Linked DNA regions of Cricetulus griseus. The protein of the gene in region 1 purifies or fractionates together with the protein of each later gene. This does not show direct contact. Links are inferred from orthologs where the notes say so. Each region holds a gene or a part of one and is shown on either strand. Other genes may lie near its edges.

The links.
Region 2: the proteins of Chd8 (region 1) and Kpna5 purify together in Homo sapiens (affinity purification with mass spectrometry; 3 studies listed by BioGRID and IntAct, with this or other methods). This does not show direct contact. The link is inferred for Cricetulus griseus from reciprocal best matches to the Homo sapiens genes CHD8 and KPNA5.

Annotation. Positions count from the first base shown.
Region 1 is NW_023276807.1:207,300,016-207,303,837, forward strand, and holds part of Chd8 (chromodomain-helicase-DNA-binding protein 8), read right to left. Parts: intron 3,627-3,822; coding exon 3,416-3,626; intron 3,252-3,415; coding exon 3,056-3,251; intron 2,436-3,055; coding exon 2,268-2,435; intron 2,022-2,267; coding exon 1,842-2,021; intron 1,695-1,841; coding exon 1,584-1,694; intron 888-1,583; coding exon 691-887; intron 454-690; coding exon 254-453; intron 173-253; coding exon 1-172. UniProt on the Homo sapiens protein: ATP-dependent chromatin-remodeling factor, it slides nucleosomes along DNA; nucleosome sliding requires ATP. Acts as a transcription repressor by remodeling chromatin structure and recruiting histone H1 to target genes.
Region 2 is NC_048595.1:257,192,234-257,196,055, reverse strand, and holds part of Kpna5 (importin subunit alpha-6), read left to right. Parts: intron 1-51; coding exon 52-230; intron 231-3,395; coding exon 3,396-3,583; 3' UTR 3,584-3,822. UniProt on the Homo sapiens protein: Functions in nuclear protein import as an adapter protein for nuclear receptor KPNB1. Binds specifically and directly to substrates containing either a simple or bipartite NLS motif.

The DNA.
Region 1 (3,822 bases):
TGATGTTTCAAGTGCTTCTTGTAACTCTCATCTTGGAACAGAGTATCAGGGTTATATTTCCGGATCCAGTCTGCCTTATGAATGTCAAAAGTACTTTGTGACTTTACTTTTTTCCCTTTCCGCCCACGGGGCACAGGGATAGACAGACCTGGGAAAGGGGCGACATCAAAGACTTGGATTGAGAAAAACCCTTACACCTGAAAAGGACTTAAATACCTTGTAGAAAAATGAAAGGGAAGGAGCTGATAATTACCTGAATGATTCTGCAATTCTTTTGTCTTGCCATTTTCAGCAGGGCTAATCAAGTCCCAAATGAAGCTTTTGATATTTTCATCCCCACGATAGTGCAGAAGACAGTAAACGAGGATGGCACGGCATATCGTCTCCACATCTCTTTCAGTCATACGTCGCTTAAAACGTCCATGAGACAAAATATCTCGCCAACGTCCCCAACTAACAAAACAAGAAGAGCAACAACACAAATATTTTGGGAGAGATTTAAATTCAGTAATATTCCCCTGGGTCCCAGAATTGCCATCTCCATCCAAAGTGAAAAACAAACAGAAGCTCCCTTAAAGGTAGTGTTTCTACGTGATACTACTTGGTCACATCCTCCATCTGAGGCAACAGGGAGTCAGGAGTCAGGAAGTGCAGAGGTGTCCCACTGCTTGTGACAAGTTGTATTCTTACCCATATACCAGGAGATGCTTTTCCACCCGAAAGCAGTCAGTGCGCCCATAGGTGTGATGCCGGTCATGTCTTCGAGAGCGCGGCCGCTCATCATCCTCACTTTCCAAATCAGAAAACTCAACCAGGTCATCATCTTTCAGAGTGCTGAAGTGCCGAGTCTGTTTCCGTACTCGAGGCGTGTCAATCACCAAGTTATTCTATATAGAGAATCAGAGTTATTTCTGAGATCTGCCCACTGGAAGAGAGTGAAGACACTTAGGGACTGACATAATCTTGAAAGTAAGTTATGAAAGTACTCAGATCTTAAAGCATGTAAACAGTCTACAAGGCTCAGGAAGAAACAGGTGGTAGACATCTGTGGTGGTTCCAATAAGAACGGCCCCCACAGGCTCACAGATTTGAATGATTGGTCACCAGGAGGTGGCACTATTAGAAAGGAACAGAACATGTGGTCTTGCTGGAGTAGGAAGTGTGTCACTTGGGTGGGCTTTATGGTTTCAAAAGCTCAAGTCAGGCACAGTATCTGTCTCTTCCTGCTTCCTTTGGATCTTAGATGAAAGACTCTGAGGTACCCATGTCTGCCTGTGTGCCAACATGCTTGCTGCCATGACAATAATGGACTAAACCTGAAACTATAAGCAAGCACCAATTAAATGGTTTCTGTTGTAAGAGCTGCCATGGTCATGGTGTCTCTTCACAGTGATAGAACAATGACTAAGACAACATCTAAGTATTTTTAGAAGGTATCCTAGGTAGAGAAAGCTTCTATAAACTTTGTGTATAATATTCCACCATAAGCATAATTAGTATTAAAGAGCTGGAACTACTAAAAAGTGAAAGTATATTGTCTTCTGCTACACCCGCCCCCTGCCCCAAAGGAGAGGTAAGCTCACCTTGCTATTCAGCAAATCCATGTCTAAGTCTGCCTTTTTGGCCCATTTTTGCCAAAAGTTTGGATCATCCAGGGAAATATCTGTCCTATTTTCAGAAGCAACAAAGCTTGCCTAGGGAGAAACAAAGGCAGAATAAAGTTAACTATAATGCTTTACACACAAAGGGAAATTAATAAGTATTTACAAACACTTAAATCCTGGAGGTTGCTTTCTCTATCCATGTCAGCCCACTTAGGGTCTGCCATAGACAGAACATGCCTTGGCAAAGGTAGAGCCTTTCCCTTCAGACTCAATAGTGATGGTTGTAGTCCGCCTCAGCAAGATCTGATCTATGTCCTCTTCACAAAACTTAGAGCCCTCATCGTCTTCCTCCATTATGGCAGCATATGCACCTTTCCTTAAGAGATCTTCAATCTCTTTCTTGGAGAACTGTTGAATCTGAAAAACCGAGACAAAGATAAAAATCCTACGAAAGAATAGTGTTGACAATTAATTGTACTGCAAAAATAATCATCAATACAAATTCTGGGGACCTGAACTTGGTATCACGAACACTGGTGAAAGGAGGAAGGAGAATTGACTGCACAAAGTTGTCCTCGGACACACATCACACATGCTCTGAAATGGTTGCTGTTTATCTCCCTCCATTACTATGACCCACCACACACTTGTCTACAGACTTACTCCAGTGATGTTGCCATCCCGACCACTCATGGACTGAAGCACAGCCTTATCCAATCCCAACTTGAGGCTAGCTTTATCAAACATCTCTCTCTCATAGGAATTACGAGTGATGAGTCGGTAAACCTTCACAGCTTTGCTCTGTCCAATTCGATGACACCGTGCCTGGGCCTAGTTAAAAAGAGAAAGAAGACACATAATATCAAGTCTTAGTTATTCACACTCATAAAGAGTCATGAAATCAACTCAAAACCAAAAACTTCAAAAAGAAAATTCTGCCCCACCTTGTAAAATGGGGGTCAGCAAACTAGGGGTTGTTTTTTTTTGTTTTTTTTTTTTTGTTGTTATTGGAGTCAGGGTTTTGTTGTGTAGCCTTGGCTGTCCTAGAAGTTGCTTCATAGACCAGGCAGATCACAGAGATCTGCCGGCCTCTGCCTGGGATTCAAGGTGACAGCCACCACACCTGGCTTAGCAAACTAGTTTATGTGTTTATCTTTTCTATAAATGAAATCAGATTCACATATAGACCCATTGATTCAACCCATGTTGCTCACTGTTGCTCTTGTGCCACAGGAGCAGAAGTGAGTGGTTGAAACAGAACCTACAGACTCCAAAGCCTACATTTAGCATTAGTTTTTTTTACAGAAAGTTAGCGGATTCCTGACGTAGCTGCCACCTCTAAGTAAACAATTTCCCTCTTCTTTGAAAGAGGGGTCTTTCTAAGAGACTGTGATTTACTAACAACCTCTTGGATTAGGTAGGTAGTTTTTAAGAAAAAGAATTTCCTTTACCTGCAGATCGTTCTGTGGATTCCAGTCTGAATCAAAGATAATACAGGTATCAGCAGCTGTAAGATTAATACCAAGTCCACCAGCACGGGTGCACAGCAAGAAGACAAAGCGGTCTGAGTCAGGCTTGCTAAAGCGGTCGATAGCAGCTTGTCGAAGGTTGCCTCTAACTCGTCCATCAATGCGTTCGTATAAGTACCTGGTAAGGAGAGATGGATATCACAAAGGGGAAATGTGGCTAAGTAGAAGAAAGCAAGGTCTTGCATGTGCCAAGCAAACATTCTACCACTGAGCTACACAATTATCCTTGAAACTTTTTGAAGACATGATAACCACACGACATTTTAGAATGACTCATCTTACCTCCTCTGGATTAGATAATCCTCAAGGATATCTAAACAGCGTACCATCTGGGAAAAGATGAGAACTTTATGGCCACCAGCTTTAAGCTTTGGAAGTAACTTGTCAATAAGAACCAATTTGCCAGCTGACCGAACCATGGCCTGTAGGTGGAAATCTTGAGGTATAATATGGCAAGCTTCCCGAAATTCCATCAGGATTTTTTCTTCTGCACCTACAAATAAAATAGTCAAAAATGATGTTATGAATAAGTGAAAACATATAAAATCTTATTGAACATAACGGCTTGAGTTAAGTAAGCAAAGTAAAAACAGTATGATCCTGGACCCTCCCTCCCTCCCTCCCTGCACACACACACACACACACACACACACACACATTTGTGTTCAGGAGTATGTCCAAGTGCACTT
Region 2 (3,822 bases), on another chromosome or scaffold:
TACAGTGTTTAAATCCTACCTCTTCCATTTCTTGTTAAAATTTCTCTGAAGGTATTTGGTAACCTTAGGCTGCATTAAACCACTTTGTGACCTTTTGACTGTCATGGACTCCAAAATAGTTCAGGTGGCTTTGAATGGACTCGAAAATATTTTACGTCTTGGAGAACAAGAATCTAAACAGAATGGAGTGGGTGTCAATCCATACTGTGCTCTCATTGAAGAAGCATATGGTAAGCAAGCAGTTGAAAGTTTGCAATTATGGGTATTCTTAATGATCTGCCCTAAGTGGCCTCCTGCCTTCTGCACCTCTACCCTTCCCCATTCTATAAGTTTTGTTTTCATTATAAAAACAGTATATTTGAAAAATATTTTTAAATAATTACCCATATCTTATATTGTAGCAATTCGTCTTCATCGTTTTCTTTTTACTATTTAACTTTCCTTATCTACCTTCCTTTTTATATTTTCCTTTTGTACAAAGACTTTGTATTGATTTAAGTAGTGTATGTTGTACATTTCTCCATGATTGGACAGATGTATACTATATTGGATAGAAGAGTGGGTATAGTTTAAGCAATGTTTTAGCAATTAAGGCCACATACTGGTAATTGACCATTAGTTTCCAATGCTTCATATAAGCCACAACAGTTATCTTTCTGCTTGTAAATTTGTTTCTTCTGTTTATTGGCAGCATTTTTTTTTGCCTTGATTTGGGATTTTTATTTTATTGATACTAGCTCTCAACGGTGTAGCTGAGATAGGCCTCCACTTCAGTTTCTTAGAAGTTGTGAGTAGAAGCATAGACCATCATATTCAGATAAATCCATATGTGCTGATATATTTTCAGGAATGCAAATGCTGAATCATAGGCACAAAATTGTTTTCTTTCCATTCTTAAGGACTTTTAGTTGACAGAGTCACTGGCTAGGTATGAAAGTACCTCTATAACTTGGTATTTCCTCTTATTGACTTGTGTAAAGTGATGTCACTAAGCTGTTTTTATGTTAATTTCTTAGTTTGTTTTGTATAGAATATGCTGTTTCTGAGCTAAAGAGATGGCTCAGTGGTTAGGAGCTTTGACTACTCTTTCAGAGGACTGGAGTTCAATTCCCAGCATGCACAGAGCAGCTCACAACTCTGTGACTCAAGTTCCAGTGGATCAGAGGCAGGCGGATCTCTGTGAGTTTGAGGTCAGCCTGGTCTACAGAGAGAGTTCCAGGACAGCCAGGGCAACACAGAGAAATGTTGTCTAGAAAAACTTAAAAAAAAAAAAAAATTAAATAAGTTCCAGTGGATCTAACTCTCTCACATAGAACATACATGCTGGCCAAATTCCATTGCATATAAAGAAGGATAAGTTATTAAAAAAGAAAGTGCTATTTCCCTTGTGTTAGTGTATTTCCTAATCACAATTGACTATTGAACTTTATTTAGTTCTGTATGTAACTTTTTTCAAAGTGATTATTTTTCTAACTTGTTATTTTGTGTATGGGATGGGTACATGGGCTCATGTGCCATGGCATGTTTGTGGAGGTCAGAGGACAGTTTTATGGATTGAACTCAGATCATCAGGTTCACATAGCCAGTGTCTTTAGCCATTGAGCCATCTTAGTAACCCTGTTTTTTATGGTTTATTATAAGGTTTTTCTAGAGGACTTTTTAAAAATATTTAACACATGACTCAGTCTCATCTATTTTTTTTTCCTTTTTTTTGTCACCTATTTCTTTGAAGTTTGCAAAATCATTGTCCTAATTGTGTTTGGGGTGTTCTGTGGTTGTTTACAGAGATGGTGACTGCTTTGCTTTTTCCTTACCTACAATATCCAAGTGGTGTGTCTTATAAAAAATGTTTTTATTGTTAGTTGGTGTTTGTGAACATGAGTTCCATAGTGCACATGTGAGTATCAGAGGATAGCTTTGTGGGATCAGTTCTCTTCTACTTCCCATGGCTATGGGCTCTAACTCATGCTGTCTGTCAGGTGTGTGTGGCCAGCACCCTTACCTGCTCAGTCATCTGCTTGGCCCAAAGTAATTTGTCTTTGAATGAAAAATAGTGTAGCATTACTCAGATCTGTGTAGAATTTTTTTCCTGAAAGCAATAAAATGGTATGCTACATATTTCTCTCATTCTTTCAGAATGAAGTTTTTTCTCAAGCTTCATTTATAGGTTGTACTTTTGGGGCATTCTGTAATAGCCAGATTATGGTATTTTCTTGTGATGTGCCATGGATTCAAATATCATTTGCATGTATTTCATACCAAAACCCTCTGGTTTCAATTTGTTCATTTGTTTTATTTCTCTTTCTGTTTTCATTATGTAGCATAGTTGTTCTGGAAGGGGTCTGTGGAATTAGTCTAAAACTAGACTTTTTTATAACTCAAGTGCAGATAATTTAACTTCTTGACGTAGTTAGGAACACACAGCAGGCTGGTTGGTGCTTGTAATCTTCCTCCCTGACTTGTGTCTTTCTTCATATTGTACTTCCCCCCCCCACTGTTTGTTTGCTTATTATTTAGAAAGACTAGATTTCATTAGCCTGAGCTATCCTGGAACTCTTTGTATAGTCAAGGATAATGATCTTGAACTCCTTATCTTATTACCTATACCTTCCCAGTGCTAGGGTTACAGGCAAGTACCACCTGCCTGGTTTTATACAGTAAGGGTGTTTGAGTCTAGGGCTTCCTGTGTGGTAGTCAAATATTTTTACCAACTGAGCTATATCCCTAGTCCCCTATATTTGTCATTCTTAAAGAATAAGGCATGAGTGTGAACTCATTTATTTGTGCAAACAATTTTAAAAAATTGACCAATCTTAGGAGTGATGAGCAAAGGGGTCAAGACCAGGCTGGGGAAACCCACAGAAACCGCTGACCTGAACAAGGGGAAGCTCATGAACCCCAGACTGATATCTGGGAAACCAGCATAGGACTGAACTGAGTCCCCTGAACGTAGGTGTCAGTTAGGAGGCGTGGGCAGTCTATGGGACCTCTGGTAGTGGATCAGTATTTATCCCTCGTATATGAATGGACTTTGGGAGCCTATTCCCCACAGAGGGATACTCAGTCAGCCTAGACACAGGGGAAGGTCTAGGCCCTGCCCCAAATGATGTGACAGACTTTGAAGATCCACTGTGGAAGGCCTTACCCTTCCTGGGGAGTGGATGGAGGGGGGGTGGGATGGGGAGTTGGTGGGGGGCAGGGGAAAAGGGGAGGGAGAGGGAACTGGGATTGATATGTAAAATAAGATTGTTTCTAATTTAAATTAAAAAAATTGAAATAGAAAAAATAAATCTCCCAGTCTTAGTGGAGTGAATGGATGCTATTGATTTGTTATTTTCATATATACTGAAGCCCTAATAATAATTTGTTTCTTGCATGTGTTCTTTCTATGATAGGCTTGGATAAAATCGAGTTTCTGCAAAGCCATGAAAATCAGGAAGTTTACCAAAAGGCTTTTGATCTAATTGAACACTATTTTGGTGTAGAAGATGATGATCCCAGCATTGCACCTCAGGTGGATGAAAACCAGCAACAGTTTGTATTTCAGCAGCAGGAGGCACCAATGGAAGGGTTTCAGCTCTAACAGGTGGTGGAGAAAATGATGGACTAAACTGGCTAGCTTCAATATCTCTTCCACATTACCAGTATTGGTAGAAATGTTTTTATATAATACAGAAAAGAAAAAAATCTGATGCACTTTTAAGAAGCAAAAATGAAAGAAAAGTTTCCATTCAGATGCACCCTTACCTTATAGATTTCTGTTTGTTGTTTTGGTTGTTCATTTTGATGTAGTTATATTTGTCTTCTGTTGTTTGGATTTTT